2 linked regions of the Anolis sagrei genome follow. Each later gene encodes a partner of the first gene's protein in a complex. Links are inferred from orthologs where the notes say so. Each region holds a gene or a part of one and is shown on either strand. Other genes may lie near its edges. The genes, in order: BMPR2 and BMP10.

Region 1 (11,352 bases):
AATGATCCTTTCTAGTGGAAGGTGAGGGATTACCCACCAGAAGCAGAAACCTCACACTTCTTTTTGAAATTCCCTGAACACCCTATAATCCCAGAGATAGCTTTCTGTAACAGGTGCCATCTGCTATGCAGGACTAGAGAAAAGAAGGTGAAAAAACATCTGAGTACATTGGCATTGAATGCAGAGGTACAATGACATAGTGAGACTTGGAGGCACCTACTTTTTAAATGTAGTTTTAACTGTATTTAATTGTGTTTTAATTCTTATGCTTCATGACACATAGGATTTCATTTTTTAATTTTCATATTCATATTTCTATGCATTTGCTCTTGTTTTTTCTTTGTATTGTGCCATGTTAGCTGCCTTGAGTCCCTATATTTGAAGAAAGGCAGGATAAAACTAAACACACACATATACATCAAAATGATAGGAACTTAATAAATATATGCATAGTTAAAACATTCCCCCCACTATACTGCACTTAGTGGTTTGCTGCCAAATTTAAGCAACAAACCATAAGCCATTTCTGGGGGAAATTGTAAGAATCTAGGACACAATGGACAAACTGCAAAAACAAAGGAACAGGGTTTTGCAGCATTTTGTCCATCCCTACTTTACACAGCTAAATCCCACAATTTAAAAATAGTTTAAATTAGGATTTTGCTTCTTTTCACCTCTTTTATGGGTACTATGGAATGTTTTTTGCTGACTTCATACTGAGTAACAAAGAGTCTTCTGGCATCAAATACCAATAAGTTTTATTTGGAATAATCTTTCATTGGTTGCCTACCACAAAACTTGGTGGTCTTCACCCTATCATGAGTCTGTATTGCTTTTGCTATGAAGACTAGAATGCTTCTGCCCCTCTCTCCTGTCCCAGCCAAAACCAAGCATTGGATTGTGCATGCAGAAACTTCAGACTTGTTCTGTAATGTAACAAGATATGCTATCTTTGCAGGATATACATCTAAACTGCAAAGGTTATTCAGCAATTACTTTGTTTAGCCAAGTACCTCTACTGTCTGAGTTTCCAAAAGATATTAGATAGGCAGATGCCAGAAATTTTTCTGATGTAAGAAGACAGACTAGATTGTTCTTGGGAACTTCCCAAGCCTGTGATTAATAATGGGTATGCTGTCAAACCGGAGGATAATTACCAACAACTATACAGAACACACAGTTGTTTTACTTCCTAAGAAGCACAAACCAAAGCAATTATCCTTAATCTTTTTAGCATGCTGTTTTTAGCATGCAAGTATTTCAACATTTTGGTAATTGGGTCATAGAAAAGGCATTTTAGCAGATTAAATCATGGAATAGTTTAATTATATTTGTTATATTCAATGTAAAAATCAAGAGCTAATTCTTCAAACGAAATAACTACAATAGAAAGCTCCAGTTTTAAATACCAATGACACAGCCAATGTTTACCTTACTAGTGTAAATATTCCATACATTTTAACTCACAATTTTCCAAGGAGACTTCTGAAAAATTTTAAAACCTTAAAAATTGTCAATCCCAACCAGAGCAAACATGTTAAATCAATGAGATTTATGTAAATGGTAACATATATTCAGCAACTGGACCTACAAGCAGCAACTAAATTTAGGTCTAAATATATAGCACACTGTTCTTCTGAAAAAAATTTTTTAGAATTATTCATTATTCATATTTATCCAATTTGATATCTGGGCAAGCGGATACCTCGGCAGCCACCTCTCCACCAAAGTCAACATCGACGCCGAAATACAACACCGCCTGAGCTCTGCAAGTGCAGCATTTTCCCGAATGAAGCAGAGAGTGTTTGAGGACCGGGACATCCGTAGGGATACCAAGGTGCTTGTCTATAAAGCTATTGTCCTCCCAACCCTGCTATATGCCTGTGAAACGTGGACTGTCTACAGACGTCACATGCAGCTCCTGGAATGATTCCATCAGCGCTGCCTCTGGAAAATCCTGCAAATCTCTTGGGAAGACAAGCGGACAAACGTCAGTGTGCTGGAAGAAGCAAAGACCACCAGCATTGAAGCGATGGTCCTCCAACATCAATTCCGCTGGGCCGGCCACGTTGTCCGGATGCCTGACCACCGTCTCCCAAAGCAGCTGCTCTACTCTGAACTTAAGAGCGGAAAATGGAACGTTGGTGGACAGGAAAAGAGATTTAAAGATGGGCTCAAAGTCAACCTTAAAAACTCTGGCATAGACACTGAGAACTGGGAAGCCCTGGCCCTTGAGCGCTCCAGCTGGAGGTCAGCTGTGACCAGCAGTGCTGCAGAATTCAAGGAGGCACGAGTGAAGGGTGAAAGAGAGAAACATGCCAGGAGGAAGGCACGTCAAGCCAACCCCAACCGGGACCGCCTTCCACCTGGAAACCAATGCCCTCACTGCGGAAGAAGATGCAGAGCAAGAATAGGGCTCCACAGCCACATACGGACCCACAGGGAAACCCATGATGGAAGACCATCTTACTCATCCAACGAGGGATCGCCTAAGTAAGTAAGTATCTGGGCAAAATAATATTAAAAGGATACTACACAGATTTCAAAAGTAAGTCCTCATTAACTTGTTCTATGTGACATTTGTTAACAATCACAAAAGATTCTGAAATCTTGAAGATCTACTTTAAAAATTAACACATCCTTAAGCCTATTTCTTCAATGCATTTAAAGTAATTTTCCACAGTATTTGCTTCTCTATTGAACAAATGCACTACAAATTCAAAAAAAAAAAGAGAGAGAGAGAACTAAAAGAAAGTAATATGGTGTTAGGCAGATGTTTTAGGTTTCTAACAGAGGAATACTCTACCTACTCAACAATAAGTTTCACTGACTTCAGTAGAACATACTCTCAAGTAAGCATGTATATTATTACAGCCTAAGCATTTGGATAAGTGCATGCAGGAAAGATAATTAAAAGCATAATGATGTCTCAGCACTTCAGAGAGTTCTTTTATTTCTATCTCCCAAGCTACAGTGTGCCACTATCAGGCTTCTCCACAGTACCAAAGCATGAACTATACTCCCATTCCTTGTCCATGTATGTAGATGTAGAACAAAGCTAGTAATGAACAAAACCAACAAGATTAACATCACTCAGTGTGCAAATATATTTCAGATATTGCATTGTGCACCAGAACTTATATTTATGTTCAGCTGACTATTTCATGGCAGATTTTGTCAAATAATTTTCTTTAAAATCCAGATGACATATATTGTCTCGCATGTGTTTAAAACATTGTATACAAAGAGTAATAATCATTTATTTATTTATTTACAACATTTATATCCCACCTTTCTCACCCTGAAGGCGACTCAGGGCAGCTTACATAATTGGCGTTATTCCATGCCCAAACAACAACAACAATTAAAAGCAATTAAACAAAAATTTAAAACAACATTAAACAACATATGTAAAGAATAGACGACAATCGTGCATACATCCAAAGCCAGATAATCAAATAATCATATTCATCAAGCCAGGATGAATTCCAACTGTATTGCACAGATAATTATGCTGGGTCAAATACTTGCTCTCAAAGAGGAGATTTCACTTGTTTGCGAAATGACAGGAGGGAAGGGGCCGATTGAATCCTACTAGGGAGGGAGTTCCACAGCCCAGGAGCCACCACTGTGAAGGCCCTGTCTCTCATCCCCACCGGTCGTGCCGATGAAGGTGGCAGAACTGAGAACAGGGCCTCCCCAGAAGATCATAACCTCAGTGATGGTTCATGGAGGGAAATGTGTTCGGATAGGTAAGGTGGGCCGAGGCCATTCAGGGCCTTATATGCCAAAGCCAGCACTTTGAATTGTGCTCGACAGCAAACCTGCAGCCAGTGAAGCTGGTGCAACAGGGGAGTTGTGTGCTCCATATATGCAGCTCCAGTTAGCAATCTGGCTGCCTCGCCTTGGATTAGTTGAAGCTTCCGAACAATCTTCAAAAACAACCCCATGTAAAGCGCGTTGCAGTAGTCTATACGAGATGTAACCTGCACATGGACCACCATGGCCAAGTCTGACTTCCCAAGGTACATACATAAAGAACTAGTAACCTCACTGTTGTGAATAAAGATTTGATACTCATGAAATTGAATATTTTTTCATTGTGTTATATTGTCATTCCACATCATAAGAGACCTTGAGACATATCTACAATGAGAAACATACAACAACAAAAATTGTTCACCCAAACCCTGCAAAATAGAAACCAGCACCTGGTAATTATTCCCATTTCCAAGAGAATGATGCAGACATTTTAAAGGGACAGATCTGAATATTGGCCAGCCGCACCCCCTTCTTTTGTAGCAGCCTAGCTGTTACCTCTAGAACCGGTTGAACCAATGTATTGAAATACACAACCATTCCTTTTTTTCCACTGGGGCCACATCCACACAGCTGAATAAAATCCCACATTATCTGCTCTGAACTGGGATATATGTCAGTGTGGACTCAGATATTCCAGTTCAAAGCAGATTTTTGTGGGTTATTCTGCCTTGATGTTCTGGGTTATATGTCTGTGCAGGAGGGCCCTGGAACGAAATGGGTTTTAAACCCGGGTAATCCGGTTTAATTCATGAGCAGATCATGCTGCCGGGTTACACCCACTGGCTACTTACCAGCCGCAGTGCTGAGGAGTAAGGTGGCACTGGCGAAGAGCAGCACCCGCCAAAGGTGCTGCAGCAAGGCAGTCATATTTGGAGGGACCCAGGGAAGGGGGCCTGATGGGCGCGATTTCCCTCGAAAACAAGGCCAACTGGGAGGAACCCTTCCGGCCGCCAGAGAGTCGACAACCTTCCTGGTTTACAATCCAGCCGGGAAGGGCAAAGGCGAGGTCTGGCCAGGAGCCGCCCGAGCTCTTCTGACTCCACGACGCGAATCTGCCTTCATCTTTCAGGGCTTCACGGGAGGGGGGTCCTCAAACCAGTATGGGGGATCCTCTCCCCAGATACAGGACCATCCCTGCGAGGCTGGAAAACCCAGATTAAGAATTCCCACGCGTCTTCTTCACAGGATCAATGCCCCGCTTTGGTTTCCAATGAATCATATCCAGAGGGGAATGAAGAGGATGGTTGAAGACTGTCAGGAGAAGCAGCTTCCCTCAAAGGGAGGTTGAAAAACACGAAGAACACCCCCCACCACCACACACAGGAAAATATATTACAAGGATATTAGTGTGTATCGTAGATATAGATATATAGATTCTCTCTATATATACATAGTATTACAAGGAGGAGAAAGAGAGGAAGGCGCCTCTGTGCTTCTTCTGTGAGGGAGGCAATGAGCAAATCAGAGCTGCCCTGTCCTTGGCTTCAACCAGCCCAAAAGAAAGCAAGGCCCATTTTTGGTCCTCCACAGAAAGGACCTCTTCAGTTGCAAGTCGGGGGAAAAAAGGCCTCCTTTTCTTCTTCTTCCCCTTCTTCCGCTCAGCTCAGCAGAGGCCTCTCCCTCACACAGGTCCCAACAGCGCCAGGCCGAGCCTTTCTTTCTTTCTTTCTTTCTTTCCTTCTCTCTCCCTCACAGTCCCGTCGCCTCCTTTCTTCACAGGCTCGCCTTCCTTTTTGGCCGTTTCTCGAGGCGAATAGTGGAGTCTCGCGCAGCCCCCCTCGCGCGCGCGCGCGCATGCGCCCTCCCTCCCCCACCGCGCGCGCTACCAAAGCTGCTTTTTTTTTCCTATTCCTTTTCAGACCAGACACAAAGGGGAGCCGCGGCGAAACTGGCAGTCTTTCTGTGCCCGGCCCGTGGGCGCCACGAAGCCCCGCCCCCTTCGCCGCCAGCGCCGCCGACGCCTCTCGCTTTGGCCACGCCCCCTTTCCTCCTCCCTCCTCGCGCGCCTCCTTCCCTTCCAACTCCTCCCTCTCCCCTTCCAGTTCCAGCCTAGAGTGGCGGCACGTAACGACGCTCTCCTCCCAGTTTTTTTTGTTTTCCGCGCCCCTCCCGCACCGCCATGTTGCGAAGAGTTCCATGTTTGCCAGATCGGCGGCCTGGAGGGAAAGTGCGTGGGAAGGGCAGGAGGAGATTTTGTTTTGCCTCCCCTTTGGGTTTTTTTTCCCCCATCTCCGTGAGAAGGCGCCTTCTTCAACCCTAGGATGTTAATTGGCTTGAGGGCCTGATTCACATCTCAAGATTGCTTTTTGTAAAAATCTCAAGCATTGTATATAAGATGTATCCATGCCAGGCATGGGCAAACTTGGGCCATCCCTCCAGGTGTTTTGGACTTCAACTCCCACAATTCCTAACAGCCAGGCATGGGCAAACTTGGGCCATCCCTCCAGGTGTTTTGGACTTCAACTCCCACAATTCCTAACAGCCAGGCATGGGCAAACTTGGGCCATCCCTCCAGGTGTTTTGGACTTCAACTCCCACAATTCCTAACCGCCAGGCATGGGCAAACTTGGGCCATCCCTCCAGGTGTTTTGGACTTCAACTCCCACAATTCCTAACCGCCAGGCATGGGCAAACTTGGGCCATCCCTCCAGGTGTTTTGGACTTCAACTCCCACAATTCCTAACAGCCAGGCATGGGCAAACTTGGGCCATCCCTCCAGGTGTTTTGGACTTCAACTCCCACAATTCCTAACCGCCAGGCATGGGCAAACTTGGGCCATCCCTCCAGGTGTTTTGGACTTCAACTCCCACAATTCCTAACCGCCAGGCATGGGCAAACTTGGGCCATCCCTCCAGGTGTTTTGGACTTCAACTCCCACAATTCCTAACAGCCAGGCATGGGCAAACTTGGGCCATCCCTCCAGGTGTTTTGGACTTCAACTCCCACAATTCCTAACAGCCAGGCATGGGCAAACTTGGGCCATCCCTCCAGGTGTTTTGGACTTCAACTCCCACAATTCCTAACAGCCAGGCATGGGCAAACTTGGGCCATCCCTCCAGGTGTTTTGGACTTCAACTCCCACAATTCCTAACAGCCAGGCATGGGCAAACTTGGGCCATCCCTCCAGGTGTTTTGGACTTCAACTCCCCCAATTCCTAACAGCCAGGCATGGGCAAACTTGGGCCATCCCTCCAGGTGTTTTGGACTTCAACTCCCCCAATTCCTAACAGCCAGGCATGGGCAAACTTGGGCCATCCCTCCAGGTGTTTTGGACTTCAACTCCCACAATTCCTAACAGCCAGGCATGGGCAAACTTGGGGCATCCCTCCAGGTGTTTTGGACTTCAACTCCCACAATTCCTAACAGCCAGGCATGGGCAAACTTGGGCCATCCCTCCAGGTGTTTTGGACTTCAACTCCCACAATTCCTAACAGCCAGGCATGGGCAAACTTGGGCCATCCCTCCAGGTGTTTTGGACTTCAACTCCCACAATTCCTAACAGCCAGGCATGGGCAAACTTGGGGCATCCCTCCAGGTGTTTTGGACTTCAACTCCCACAATTCCTAACAGCCAGGCATGGGCAAACTTGGGCCATCCCTCCAGGTGTTTTGGACTTCAACTCCCCCAATTCCTAACAGCCAGGCATGGGCAAACTTGGGCCATCCCTCCAGGTGTTTTGGACTTCAACTCCCCCAATTCCTAACAGCCAGGCATGGGCAAACTTGGGCCATCCCTCCAGGTGTTTTGGACTTCAACTCCCACAATTCCTAACAGCCAGGCATGGGCAAACTTGGGGCATCCCTCCAGGTGTTTTGGACTTCAACTCCCCCAATTCCTAACAGCCAGGCATGGGCAAACTTGGGCCATCCCTCCAGGTGTTTTGGACTTCAACTCCCCCAATTCCTAACAGCCAGGCATGGGCAAACTTGGGCCATCCCTCCAGGTGTTTTGGACTTCAACTCCCACAATTCCTAACAGCCAGGCATGGGCAAACTTGGGCCATCCCTCCAGGTGTTTTGGACTTCAACTCCCACAATTCCTAACAGCCAGGCATGGGCAAACTTGGGCCATCCCTCCAGGTGTTTTGGACTTCAACTCCCACAATTCCTAACAGCCAGGCATGGGCAAACTTGGGCCATCCCTCCAGGTGTTTTGGACTTCAACTCCCACAATTCCTAACAGCCAGGCATGGGCAAACTTGGGCCACCCCTCCAGGTGTTTTGGACTTCAACTCCCACAATTCCTAACAGCCAGGCATGGGCAAACTTGGGCCATCCCTCCAGGTGTTTTGGACTTCAACTCCCCCAATTCCTAACAGCCAGGCATGGGCAAACTTGGGCCATCCCTCCAGGTGTTTTGGACTTCAACTCCCCCAATTCCTAACAGCCAGGCATGGGCAAACTTGGGGCATCCCTCCAGGTGTTTTGGACTTCAATTCCCACAATTCCTAACAGCCAGGCATGGGCAAACTTGGGCCATCCCTCCAGGTGTTTTGGACTTCAACTCCCACAATTCCTAACAGCCAGGCATGGGCAAACTTGGGCCATCCCTCCAGGTGTTTTGGACTTCAACTCCCACAATTCCTAACAGCCAGGCATGGGCAAACTTGGGCCATCCCTCCAGGTGTTTTGGACTTCAACTCCCACAATTCCTAACAGCCAGGCATGGGCAAACTTGGGCCATCCCTCCAGGTGTTTTGGACTTCAACTCCCACAATTCCTAACAGCCAGGCATGGGCAAACTTGGGCCATCCCTCCAGGTGTTTTGGACTTCAACTCCCACAATTCCAAACAGCCGGTGGGAGTTGAAGTCCAAAACACCTGGAGGGATGGCCCAAGTTTGCCCATGCCTGATCTTAACACTGGAATTAATGCAGTTTTGCTGCTATTATTATTATTATTAAACTTTATTGATACCCCACCACCAGACATGTAGCGGAGGGAGGGGCTTGAGGGGCTTCAGCTCCCCCCCCCCCCAAATTCTCATGGTGGTCCGCGAGAAGGCCTTATTAATTCTATACTAATCCCAGCGTACCTGTCTGAACATATATCCCTCTACGTCCCACCTCGGAGTTTAAGATCTTCCGGGGGGGTCCTGCTCTCGGCCCCACTTTTATCACAAGTGAGACTGGTGGGGACGAGGGACAGGGCCTTCTCGGTGGTGGCCCCTCGCCTGTGGAATTCACTCCCCGGGGAAATTAGGTAATCAACATCCCTCCTCTCCTTCAGGAGGAAGTTAAAAACCTGGATTTGGGACCAGGCCTTCGGGTAAGCTGGCAGATGGACAAAAGACAATGACGACCAGAGTAGGAAAGGACAATGACAATGCTGGATGGATTATGGATTTATAAATCGGCAAACATTGACCACAAAATGATTTTATTGCTGTTATTGTATTGATTTGATTGTTTTAACTAGTAATAACTGTTGATGTTAAATTGTATATTGTATTTTGTGAATTGTTAGGCATCGAATTGTGCCTTTGGTAAGCCGCCCTGAGTCCCCCCTAGGGGGTTGAGAAGGGCGGGGTAGAAGCACTCCAAATAAATAAATAAATAAACGGTTCTGGCCCAGTTTACCTGTCTGAACAGATTCTCCCCTATGCACCATCAAGGTTGCTAAGATCTTCTGGAGGGGCCCTGCTCTCGGTCACACCACACTCGCAATCGCGTCTGGTGGGGACGAGAGAAAGGGCCTTCTCGGTGGTGGCCCCTTGGCTGTGGAACTCTCTCCCAATGGAGATTAGATCTGCCCCTTCCCTCCTGATCTTCAGAAAGCTAGTGAAATCCTGGCTCTGGGACATAGCATTCTCAGAACGATTGCGGAGTTCAGCAATAACCTAATAACTACTGACCACACTGGCGGATTGAGATGAACATGATTTTATCTTGGCGATTTGGCATTATGTATTTATTTTGTTTGTATTTAACTTATTGTGATGTTAGTATGTTTTTAGTTGTATTTGTGTATTGATTTTCTGCTGTTAGCTGGCCTGAGTCCCTCTGTGGAGGTTGAGAAGACTGGGGTTTACAAGTTTTAAATAAATAAATTACTGGTACATTATTTAAACTGTTGTGTTTATTCATATCATGATCTGATCACCATGCTCAATCTATCCCATATGCACGGGGGTATTGGGGTAACGATACAAAAGGTTTGCTAGGGTAGACCCTCTTTCACTCAGACTCAGCCCCCACCCCCCCAGGTTGCATAGGACCGTAAATAGAAAGGTTGAAGCAAGACCAATTGGGAGTCAAAAGTACCAACTACAGTGTCATATAAAATCCACATTGCCTCACCTACACTGCCATATAGAATCCAAATTATCTGCTTTGAACTGGATTATGAGTGTAGACTCATAATCTAGTTCAAAACAGATAATGTTGACTATTTGCTTTGTTAACCTGGATTATATAACAGTGTAGAAAGGGCCTAGGTTGGCTAGTATTGTATGCCTTTAGGTCATTTCTGATCTATGGTAACCCTACAGTCAATGTATCATAAGGTTTTCTTGCCAAGATTTGTTCAGAGGTGGTTTGCCTTTTCCTCCCACTGAAGCTGAGAGAATGTGATACACCCAAAGTCATCTATTGGATGTCCATGACTGAATGAGGCTTTGAACCCTGGTCTCCAGAGTCATAATCACACATCCAATCCACTACACTGGAGCTGTATACAATGATAGCAACTAAAGCTGAGAGTTACTGGCTTGAAGTCATTTGGTTAAATCACATTTAAGCAGAAGTTTTCCAGTTCAAACCATCAGCTGCGTTTTTACAACTAGCTGTGTGTTCACGGGGCTCCCATGTCCTTTATAGAAGTGTTTGCTGCATCCTAATGTATTATACAACCTATATATTGTAATGTATATACAGGGGAGTGTTGCCCTTTTAAAATAACATCTTCAAAGAAATAGGGTAAGTCCAATGCATTATGCAACCAACCTTAATATTCAGAGTTTCATTACGAAAATGAGCTAACAAGCCCATAGGGTGAGATTGCTCCAACAAATTATCCATTCGCTCCCTGCATTATGTTTGCAACCATGCTAAGCTGCCTGTGATTTATTTCATCATGTCAACATACTGGTATGCGTTGTTTGCAAAGATGCTTAATAGTTGGCATCTGCCAATCTTTTCTCCTTTCATCAAGTCACTTTGGAGCGTCTTCCAAAACCAGATTTTCCTTATCTCTGTTTCTGTTGCAGACTGTGAGTTTCTGCCTTCAGCTCTTTCCCCCAAATGTCTTTTCCTAGACCTTTAACTTCTTAAAAGTACCGGGAGATGCAGAGGGTGGAAGAGTCACCGGAAATCAACCCCTGATCCACCTCTGGGAGTATTATGAGCAGAATATTGCACTTGGGAACGTTCCCACCAATCTAATTAAAAACATAGTTTGCCTAAAGGCAGAAAAGAGAGTTGAAAAAGAATTCTGGATTAATATCTGTTCAGATACAAGACATAGCAAAGTAGTTATGTTGTCAATTAGCATCAAGTCAACGTTGACTTATAGTAACACTACAAATGTGAGA
Region 2 (10,988 bases), on another chromosome or scaffold:
TTCACCTACTATCAAAGAGCATTCTGAACAATAGAATTGGGGCAAACTTCCCAAACGGAACTCCCCTAACCAACAGAAAATACTGTGACACCCCATGGTGACCACCCGGGCACCCAACCCCCAGGTAGAGAAATGCTGCCTTAATGCCATCCAGTCCAACTTCCTTCACCAGGGAAAGAAATCATCATCAAAGCCTTCCTGACAAAGAGCCATCCAGCCATAGATAGATATGATTCACACACACACACATATATGTATATGACAGATATAGTATCATAGATTGGAAAGGGACCCCTCCTTTTTTTCATGTCAGGAGCAACTTGAGAAACTGCAAGTCGTTTCTGGTGTGAGAGAATTGGCCGTCTGTAAGGACGTTGCCCAGGGGACGCCCGGACCCCTGAAGAAGGACAATGATACGTTGCACGTTCCAGAGTAGGCAAACCAGACAATCTCCACATCAACACTGACCGAGAAACAACAAAAAATACCGTTTACCCACAATCATAAAAAATACATATATTAGAAACCAACACTTTCTCATTACTTTATTTTCCAGAGCACCAAACTGGGCCACGGCAATGTGTAGCAGGGAATGGCTAGTACAATATAATAAATATAAACATAATACTATATATATATATATATATATATATATATATATATATATATATATAAATGCTCTGTGCATAATGAGTACCTTAAAAACAAAAGAACCAATGAATGAAATCACACCAAATTTGGCAACAAAATGTCTCACAACACAAGGAGTGACCATCACTCAAAAAATTATAATTTTGTCATTTGGGAGTTGTAGTTGCTGGAATTTATAGTTCACCTACAATCAAAGAGCATTCTGAACTCCATCAATGATGGAATTGAACCAAACATGGTACACAGAACTCCCATGACCAACAGAAAATACTGGAAGGGTTTTGGTGAGCATTGACCTTGAGTTTGAGAGTTGTAGTTCACCTACATCCAGAGAACACTGTGGACTCAAACAATAATGGATCTGGATTAAACTCTACACGAATACTCAATATACCCAAATGTGAACACTGTTAGAGTTTGGGGAAAATAGAATCTTGACATTTGGGAGTTGTAGTTGTTGGGATTTATTGTTCACCTACAATCACAGAGCATTCTGAACCTCACCAATGATGGAATTGAACCAAACTTGGCACACAGTTCTCCCATGACCAACAGAAAATACTGGAAGGGTTTGGTGGGCAGTGTCCTTTGGTTTTGGAGTTGTAGTTCACCTACATCCAGAGACTCAAAAAATGATGGATCTGGACCAAACTCTACACGAATACTCAATATGCCCAAATGTGAACACTATTAGAGTTTGGGGAACATAGAATCTTGACATTTGGGAGTTGTAGTTGCTGGGATTTATAGTTCACCTACAATCACAGAGCATTCTGAACCCCACCAACGATTGAATTGGGCCAAACCTCCCACACAGAACCCCTATGTGGGCCACAGCAACGCGTGGCGGGGAACGGCTAGTATAATAATAAAATTACAAATTGATTGTCCTTTCCCTGCATGGAAGAAAGTCAGACTAGATGGTCCATGGGGGTCTCTTCCAAATCTATTCTTCTGTGAGATAGAAGAGACTCCTTGGATGCAACCCAAAATCCCATTGACTTTTGGAGCTGCTGCATCCCATTGCTGGCTCATGTTCAACTGGTTCTCCACTAAGACCGCTTTATACACTGCCATGTAATTCAGATTATCAAAGCAGATAATCCATATTACCTGCTTCGAAATGGATTGATATGAGTCTATACTCATATCAATGAGTCTATAGAAGGCATGATCATCAAGTTTGCAGATGACACCAAATTGGGAGGGATAGCCAATACTCCAGAGGACAGGAGCAGGATTCAAAATGATCTTGACAGATTGGAGAGATGGGTCAAAACTAACAAAATGAAGTTCGGCAGTGACAAATGCAAGATACTCCACTTTGGTAGGAAAAACAAAATGCAAAGATACAGAATGGGGGACAATGCCTGGCTTGAGAGCAGTACGTGTGAAAAAGATCTCGGAGTCCTCGTGGACAACAAGTTAAACATGAGCCAACAATGTGATGTGGCGCCAAAAAAAGCCAGTGGGATTTTGGCCTGCATCAACAGGAGCATAGTGTCTAGATCTAGGGAAGTCATGCTACCCCTCTATTCCGCTTTGGTTAGACCACACCTGGAATATTGTGTCCAATTTTGGGCACCTCAATTCAAGAGAGATATTGACAAGCTGGAATGTGTCCAGAGGAGGGCAACTAAAATGTTCAAGGGTCTGGAGAACAAGCCCTATGAGGAGCGGCTTAAGGAACTGGGCATGTTTAGCCTGAAGAAGAGAAGGGTGAGAGGAGATATGATAGCCATGTATAAATATGTGAGAGGAAGCCACAGGGAGGATGGAGCAAGCTTGTTTTCTGCTTCCTCGGAGACTAGGACGCGGAACAATGGCTTCAAATTACAAGAGAGGAGATTCCATCTGAACACGAGGAAGAATTTCCTGACTGTGAGAGCCATTCAGCAGTGGAACTCTCTGCCCCAGAGTGTGGTGGAGGCTCCTTCTTTGGAAGCTTTTAAACAGAGGCTGGATGACCATCTGTCAGGGGTGATTTGAATGCAATATTCCTGCTTCTTGGCAGGGGGTTGGACTGGATGGTCCATGAGGTCTCTTCCAACTCTTTGATTCTATGAGTCTATACTGCCATATAATCAATTTCTTTGAAAGTAGTTGTTCTACTCCAGAAACTTTGTTTTGCCACAGACTAATTGGCTTAGACTCGATGAAATATTCATTGAAAAACTAGGGTGAAATGTGCTGCAGGACGATCTCTCTCCCGCACAAACTTTTTGCAGTTTAGTAAATATTTCCCATGTTTTATGATCTAACAAATTAGATTGTCGTCTTACATAGTGTTATTATTATTATTATACAATAATAATATACGATATTATATAGTATTATTATTAATAAAAATATACAATCTATATAAATAAAAATTTAATGTTTGGACAAATTGACACCAAATTTGGACACAAGACATCTAACAACTCAATATATGTCCTTCACTAAAAAAATGATTTTGTCATTTCGGAGTTGTAGTTGCTGGGATTTATAGTTATAGTTCACCTACAATCATAGAGCTTTCTGAACTCCACCAATGATGGAATTGAACCAATCTTGGGACACAGAACTCCCCTGACCAACAGAAAATACTAGAAGGGTTTGGTGAGCATTGACCTTGAGCTTGGGAGTTGTAGTTTACCTACATCCAGAGAACACTTTGGACTCAAACAATGATAGATCTGGACCAAACTTGGCACGAATATTCCATATGCCCAAATATGAATACAGATGGAGTTTGGGGGAAATAGACCCTGACATTTGGGAGTTCTAGTTACTGGGATTTATAGTTCACCTACAATCAAAGAGCATGCTGAACCCCACCAACGACAGAATTGGGGCAAAAGTCCCACACAGAACCACCATACTTAAGACCATCCAGTCCAACTCCTTTCACTAGGGCAAGAAAACGTAATCAAAGCCCTCCTGATAAAGAGCTATCCAGCCATAGATAAAGATAGATATATGATGATTCACACACATACACACAAACACAGATATAGTATCATAGATTTGAAAGGGGCCCCTAAAGAAGGATAATTATATGTTGCATGTTCCAGAGTAGGCAAACCAGACAATCTCCACATCAACACTGACAAAGAAACAACAAGGAATAGTTTACTCACAAGTATAAAGGAATTACATATATTAGAAACCATTACTTTATTTTTCAGATCACTAGACTGGACCACAACAACGTGTGGCAGGGGATAGCTAGTAATAATATATAATGTGCTGCATTTCCATGTTTTGATGATGGAACCAATTAGGAAATGACACTGGTAACCCAGGAACAATAGTCGTGTGAAGGTCATTTTGCATCCAGACCCTGTCTTCTGCAATATGAGCTCTCCATCCCAATTTGGTTCCAAACTTGATAAGAAGCATGCTCTTTAAACCTTCTTCTAAGCCATTCATGCATTTTCCTTCTTTCCACCCAAGAAGCTCCCAAAAGTAAGGCAATGTCCGGCCAAGCAATCTCTAAGGTCTCAAGGAGAGCGTCCCGGGCCTTACCTTCGTTCTTGAAGCTGCGGACAATGTTGGCGGAGGGCATAGAACTCTTGTCAAGGGTGAAGCGGTGGAAGAGCTCCAGCATGTATTCGGGAGGCTCCACTTTGGCCGGTTCTTGGACAGGGACCTCAGAGATGTTGAGGGCCTTCAATAGGTTCTGCAGAATGGGGTCCTGCTCGTCAAAGAAGGCCACATCCTCCGGCGCATCCAGGTCTCGGATGGGACCTCCGTCTCCAATGCGGAGCAGCATGACGGCCCACATTTGCAAGGCCACCAGCCTCATAGTTGCCTTTCTCATGGTTGCGTCCCAGCACAACAGATAGAGAGAGATATATATGGTCGTCCCAGCACAATGGATAGAGATAGAGATATATATGGTGCTTGTCACTAGCCGTGGACAAGTCTGGAAGCTCTTGCCCAGGCGCTTGTCATGCGAACGCCTCTCCTTCCAATCCCACCCCCTTTCGTCCAGGTCTCAGTAATTGGATCTGGTCTCCAATGGTCGCCTTCGCTGCCTTATCTCCCCCAGTGTAAGCTGTCCACCAGATTTCGGTCTCTATCTCACAAATGCGCCGCTCTCTTAATGAGCATGGTGTAAACATTCCTCGTTGGGATGCGATGGAAGAGTTGGCCAACTTTTTCCCCTCGTCTTGTGCGGAAGGACATACCCTCCCTTCCTCTACTTCTGTTTTCTCTGAGGACTGTTTCTAAGGGGGCATCTGCACTGGAGAATTAATGTGCTCAAATGGCAACGGCTCAATCCTGCATCCGGTTCTGCATAGATATAGGATGAGGGACACCTGGCTGAAGAACCTTCCGTGTGAAAGGAATCTAAGGATCTTTGGAGACCACAGCCTGAGCATGAGTCAACAGTGTGATGTGGCAATGACCAATGCCATTCCAGGCTGCATCCATAGGAGCCTAGCATCCACATCTCTGGTTTCTCTGGTTGCTTCTGGATCGAGAGAATCAGCCGTCTATGAAGACATTGCCCAGGGGACGCCCGGATGTCTTGCAATCCTGCGAGGAGGCTTCTCTCATGTCCCACTGGAAGCGTTGCATTGAATCCCACTGGAGCATTGCAGCGCACCTAAATACCTGGGAGTCACTCTGGACCGTTCTCTGACCTACAAGAATCACTGCCTGAACATCAAACAAAAAGTGGATGCTAGAAACAATATCATACGAAAGCTGACTGGCACAACCTGGGGATCACAACCAGATACAGTGAAGACATCTGCCCTTGCGCTATGCTACTCTGCTGCTGAGTATGCATGCCCAGTGTGGAACACATCTCACCACACTAAAACAGTGGATGTGGCTCTTAATGAGACATGCCGCATTATCACAGGGTGTCTGTGCCCTACACCACTGGAGAAATTACACTGCTTAGCCGGTATTGCACCACCTGACATCCGCCAGGAAGTTGCAGCCGATAGTGAAAGGACCAAGGCAGAGACATCTCCAGCTCATCCCTTGTTTGGGTATCAGCCAGCACGTCAATGACTTAAATCAAGAAATAGTTTTCTTAGATCTACAGAGACACTCGCTGGAACACCTCCGCAAGCGAGAGTCCAAAAGTGGCAGGCCCAAACCCAGCACCTCAATCCGTGGGTGATACCAGATGAGAGACTCCCCCCTGGGCACACAGAAGACTGGGCGACTTGGAAGGCGCTGAACAGACTGTGCTCTGGCACCACAAGATGCAGAGCCAATATTAAGAAATGGGGCTACAAAGTTGAATTCACGACGTGCAAGTGTGGAGAAGAGCAAACCACTGACCACCTGCTGCAATGCACCCTGAGCCCTGCCACATGCACAATGGAGGACCTTCTTGTGGCAACGCCAGAGGCACTCCAAGTGGTCAGATACTGGTCAAAGGACATTTAATCAGCTACCAAGTTTGCAAAATTTGTGGGGGGTTTTTTTCATCTGTTTGTTTGTTTGTTTTGTTCTGTTAGAAATGTAATACAATGTTCTGGTTGCGGATGACACGATAAATAAATAATCCACATCGAGGAAACTCCTAGTCTCTCTCTTCTGCTTTGGGAAGATCTCCTCACCTGGAATGACAGCCCTATGTCCCATTCTGGACAAAGCAATTGAAGAAGGAGTGCCTGAGAGTTTGGTCCTGGGCCCAATATTCTTCAACGTCTTTATTAATGGCTTGGATGAAGGTTTAGAGGGCCTGCTTCGTATCAAGCTAGCAGCTGGGACTAAATTAGGAGGGAGAGCGAATACTCCAGAGGACAGAGTCAGGATGCAAAAGGACCTCAACAGATGAGAGCTGATTGACCAAAAGAAACACAATGAATGTCAACAAGGAGCAATGTAAGATGCTACACTTAGGCAGGGAACAATGAAATGCAAAGATACAGAATGAGAGATGCCTGGCTCAACAACAGTCCATGTGAAAAAGATCTTGGAGTCTTCGTGGGAAGCAAATAGAACATGAGCCACGAGTATGATGCAGCAGCTCAAAGGCCAATCTAGTGTCTAGATCAGTGGTTCTCAACCTGGGGGTCGGGACCCCTGTGGGGGTCGCGAGGGGGTGTCAGAGGGGTCGCCAAAGACCATCAGAAAACAGTATTTTCTGTTGGTCATGGGAGTTCTGTGTGCCAAGTTTGGTTCAATTTCATCATTGGCGGAGTTCAGAATGCTATGTGATTGTAAGTGAACTATAAATCCCAACAACTCCAACTCCCAAATGTCAAGGTCTATTTTCCCCAAACTCCACTAGTGTTTACATTTGGGCATATTGAATATTCATGCCAAGTTAGGTCCAGATCCATCATTGTTTGAGTTTCTGGAGGTAGGTGAACTACAACTCCCAAACTCAAGGCCAGTGCCCATCAAATCCTTCCAGTATTTTCCGTTGGTCATGGGAATTCTGTGTGCCAAGTTTGGTTCAATGTCATCATTGGCGGAATTCAGAATGCTCTTTGATTGTAGATGAACTATAAATCTCAGTAATTACAACTCCCAAATGACAAAATCAGCCCCACCAGTATTCAAATTTGGGCATATCGGGTATTTGTGGCATATTTGGTGCAGTGAATGAAAATACATGCTGCATATCAGATATTTGCATGCCGATTCATAACAGTAGCAAAATTACAGTTATGGGGTAGCAACGAAAATAATGTTATGGTTGGGGGTCACCACAACATGAGGAACTGTATTCAGGGGTCGTGGCATTAGGAAGGTTGAGAACCACTGGTCTAGATCGAGGGAAGTCCTGGTGCCTCTCTATTTGGCTTTGGTCAGGCTTCACCTGGAATACTGTGTCCAATTCTGGACACCATGATTCCAAGCTGGAAGATGTCCAGAGGAAGAGGGAGACCCAAAGGATCAAAGGTCTGGAGACCATTAATAATCCGTCTGAGGAGCATCTTAAAGAGCTGGGTTTGTTTATCCTGCAGAAGAGAAGGTTGAGTGGAGGAGGAATGACAGCCATGTCTAAATATGTGAAAGGCTGTCATAAGGAAGAGGAAACAGTCTTCATTTCTGCTGCCCTGGAGACTAGGACGCGGAGCCATGGGTTCAAATGACAAATGAAGGAGATTCTACCTGAACATGAGTAAGAACTTTCTGAACGTACAAGCTGTTCAGCAGTTGAACTTTCTGCCTCAGAATCTGGTGTAAGCTCATTCCTTGGAAGCTTTTAAACAGAGGCTGGGTGGCAGTCTATCGGGGATACTTTGTGCTTTTCCTGCAGGACAGAAAGAAGGGGGTTGGACTAGATGGCCCTTGGAAGTCTCTTCCAACACTAGGATTCTATGATTCTAAGGAGATGTACAAGAAAGAAGGTGTCCAGAGAAGGGCTCCCCAAAAGTTCAAAGTTCTGGAAACCAATAATCCCTCTGAAAAATGGCTGAAGAAGTTTGGGATGTTTTTCTTGGAGGAAAGAAGGTTCAGAAGGAACATGAGATCCATGTTTAAATATCTGAAAGGATGTCATATTGAGGAGGAGGAGTTACAAACATCCAGCTTCTAAATTACAGTTAAGCACAGGGGTGGCCTGGATGGTTTTTGGGGGGCCCTTCCACATCTAGGATACTATAGGTAAAGGTAAAGGTTTTCCCCTGACATTCAGTCCAGTCGTGTCCGACTCTGGGGTGTGGTGCTCATCTCTATTTCTAAGCCGAAGAGCCGGCGTTGTCCATAAACACCTCCAAGGTCATGTAGCCAGCATGACTGCAAGGAGCGCCATTATACTAGATCTCACATATATATACTAGGCTTGGGCAATCCATGGTTCTAAATGGTTCTAAAGTACTTACAAGACTAAAGTTCTGGTGGTGAAAATTTCAGAACTCTAACAAAACTCTCAAAATTTCATAATAAATGGCAGTTCCTAATTGGTTCTGTCATTAAAATCACCAATAATGAAATAATAATTAAATTTTGAAAGTTTTGTTAGAGTTCTGAAATTTTCACCACCAGAACTTTAGTTTTGTAAGTACTTTAGAACCATTTAGAACCATGGATTGCCCAAGCCTAATATATACATATAGAGACCTATATATATGCAGTTCCCAAGTTACAGACATCCAATTTACAAATGACTCACAGTTAAGAAGAGAACTGGGTTGGATGGCCTTTGGGGACCCCTTCCAAATCTATGATATATATAGAGATATAGTTATAAACACATCCAACTCCTATTTAGGAGGTTGAGACAATAGGAAGTGAGAGGAATCTTCCTCTTGAAAGGAAGGGAAATCCACTCCTGGGAGAGTTGGTATCAGGGGGGAAAGGGTCTCTGCTCAAGCTTTGTCCCCAATACTTGTTTTCACAACAAGCCACATTTTGCAAAATCCAATAATAACAGGGATAGAAAGTGGGGTGAAATCTTCTGAACAGAGATACAGGCAACAGGGGTGTTTACCCTTCCCTATGCCATACCAAAGCCATATATTAACACTATGCACAGTGGGTTAAAGTGCTGAGCTGCTGAGCTTGTTGACCGAAAGGTCGCAGGTTTGAATCTGGGGAGCAGCGTGAGCTCCTGCTGTTAGCCCCAGCTTCTGCCAACCTAGAATTTTGAAAATATGCAAATGTGAGCAGATCAATAGGTACCACTCTGGCAGGAAGGTAACGATGCTCCATGCAGTCATGCTGGCCACATGACCTTGGAGGTGTCTACAGACAATACCAGCTCTTCGGCTTAGAAATGGGGATGAGCACCACCCCCCAGAGTCAGACACGACTGGACTTAATGTCAGGGGAAAACCTTTACCTAACACTATGCAACACGATGTTTGTTCCTGGGTTATTAATGTCATTATTTCCTAATTGATTCTGTTATGAAAACATGGGTAAAGTTTATTATAAGGCCACGCCTTTGTTCTTGGAAGAAGGACATTATCCTGCGATAGCACAATGGCAATCTCATCATCTAGTCTCAACTAATTCGACAAAAACAACAAAGTGTCTGGAGTAGAACAACTATTTTCAAAGTAAGGGCCACACAATTAAACAGGAAAAACCCTGTCAAACCAGGAACATAATTTATTTTTTCAAATGTTGTTGCATAGTGTGATTCAAGCTCTGTTATCCAAAAGCGCAACTAACTCAATGCGGAGGGGACGTTCCTGCAGGACATTTTTGGGATTCTCTCCCTTGTCATCGTCTTTCCTTGCAACTTTGGTATTCCTTTGGTGTCCGATAAGGAAGGGAGAGCCTCTCCCATGACATTGACACAAGCAAGGCGGGCGACCCAAGACCTTTTTCGCCCCTTTTCTCACTCCTGGGTCTATTTCAAGAGCGACATTCTTATCCTTAATGAGGATTCCAAGGAGGAAAAACTCAGTGAACTTTCCAGAGTCAAAACTCCCAGATACCATTGTGTTGCAATGCAGCCACCCATCCCAACCGCTCCTTGGATGCTCATAAGGGGCACCTGCACTGCAGGATTAATGCAGTTTGACGCCACTTTCAATGTTGTGGCTCAATGCTATGCAATCTTGGGAGTGGGCCTCCATTTGCACCATCGTTGTGTTTGCACTCGGGTGCCATTCATCCCGGTGTTTGCTTTCTCACAGTTGGAAGAGCACCCAGCCCTGTTTGCTCTGCTTCTTGCACCTTGATTTTATGTATGTGTGTGTGTGTGTGTGTGTGTGTGTGTGTGTGTGTGTGTAGAGAGAGAGAATGCTGTAATCGTGCAAAACATATGATGCGATGCCAATTAAAACACTGTACATGCAATGACACTAGGGGTGCATTCAATAATAATAATAATAATAATAATTCCAGACTTAAAACTTTATTTTGAAGCGGCAGCACTACAATGAGTAAAAGACTGGGCTACACTAAAGAAAACAAGACTTTTAGCACATGAATGGTTTAATTTACGAAGAGGGTGGCATTCCTATTTATGGTTTGATAAGTTTAAAATCGAAAAAAACTTCAGAAACCATTTTTTTAGATCCACTTTAATAAAAACTTGGAATAAATTTAAAAAATAGAATATACTCAAAAACGCCACTCTGGCTTTCCCCAATTGAAGCGAGACATAAAAGAGAACTCCCATCCGAACATTGGCTGACATATAAAGACTTACTTTTCAACATCTACATGAAACTGCTGGGTGAGGTCATCCAGAGTTTTGGAGTTCACTCCCATCTCTACGCAGATGACATGCAACTCTACTACTCCTTTCCACCTAACTCCAAGGAAGCCCCTCGGATCCTGGACCAGTGTCTGGCTACTGTGATGAGCTGAATGAGAACCAACAAGCTGAAGCTAATCCAGATAAGACAAAGGTCCTCCAAGTCAGTCACTCGATCGATCGGGGTGTAGGGTGGCAACCTGTGCTGGACGGGGTT

Evidence for each region.
Region 2: the proteins of BMPR2 (region 1) and BMP10 are in contact, whole or in part, in a crystal structure (PDB 7PPA), measured with the Homo sapiens proteins. The link is inferred for Anolis sagrei from reciprocal best matches to the Homo sapiens genes BMPR2 and BMP10. Residues at the interface, in NP_001195.2 of Homo sapiens: Asp38, Ser64, Tyr67, Leu69, Lys81, Cys84, Trp85, Ser86, Ile88, Gly89, Asp90, Pro91, Gln92, Glu93, Thr103, Thr104, Pro105, Pro106, Ile108, Tyr113, Phe115; in NP_055297.1 of Homo sapiens: Tyr329, Lys333, Asp338, Ser339, Trp340, Ile342, Ala343, Pro344, Pro345, Gly346, Tyr347, Glu348, Glu395, Pro396, Ile397, Ser398, Ile399, Leu400, Leu402, Val407, Tyr409, Phe411, Ala417.

The regions. Positions count from the first base shown.
Region 1 is NC_090021.1:165,346,274-165,357,625, reverse strand, and holds the start of BMPR2 (bone morphogenetic protein receptor type-2), read right to left. Parts: upstream 5,764-11,352; 5' UTR 4,690-5,763; coding exon 4,614-4,689; intron 1-4,613. UniProt on the Homo sapiens protein: On ligand binding, forms a receptor complex consisting of two type II and two type I transmembrane serine/threonine kinases.
Region 2 is NC_090027.1:20,127,517-20,138,504, forward strand, and holds the start of BMP10 (bone morphogenetic protein 10), read right to left. Parts: upstream 4,551-10,988; 5' UTR 4,457-4,550; coding exon 4,162-4,456; intron 1-4,161. UniProt on the Homo sapiens protein: Required for maintaining the proliferative activity of embryonic cardiomyocytes by preventing premature activation of the negative cell cycle regulator CDKN1C/p57KIP and maintaining the required expression levels of cardiogenic factors such as MEF2C and NKX2-5.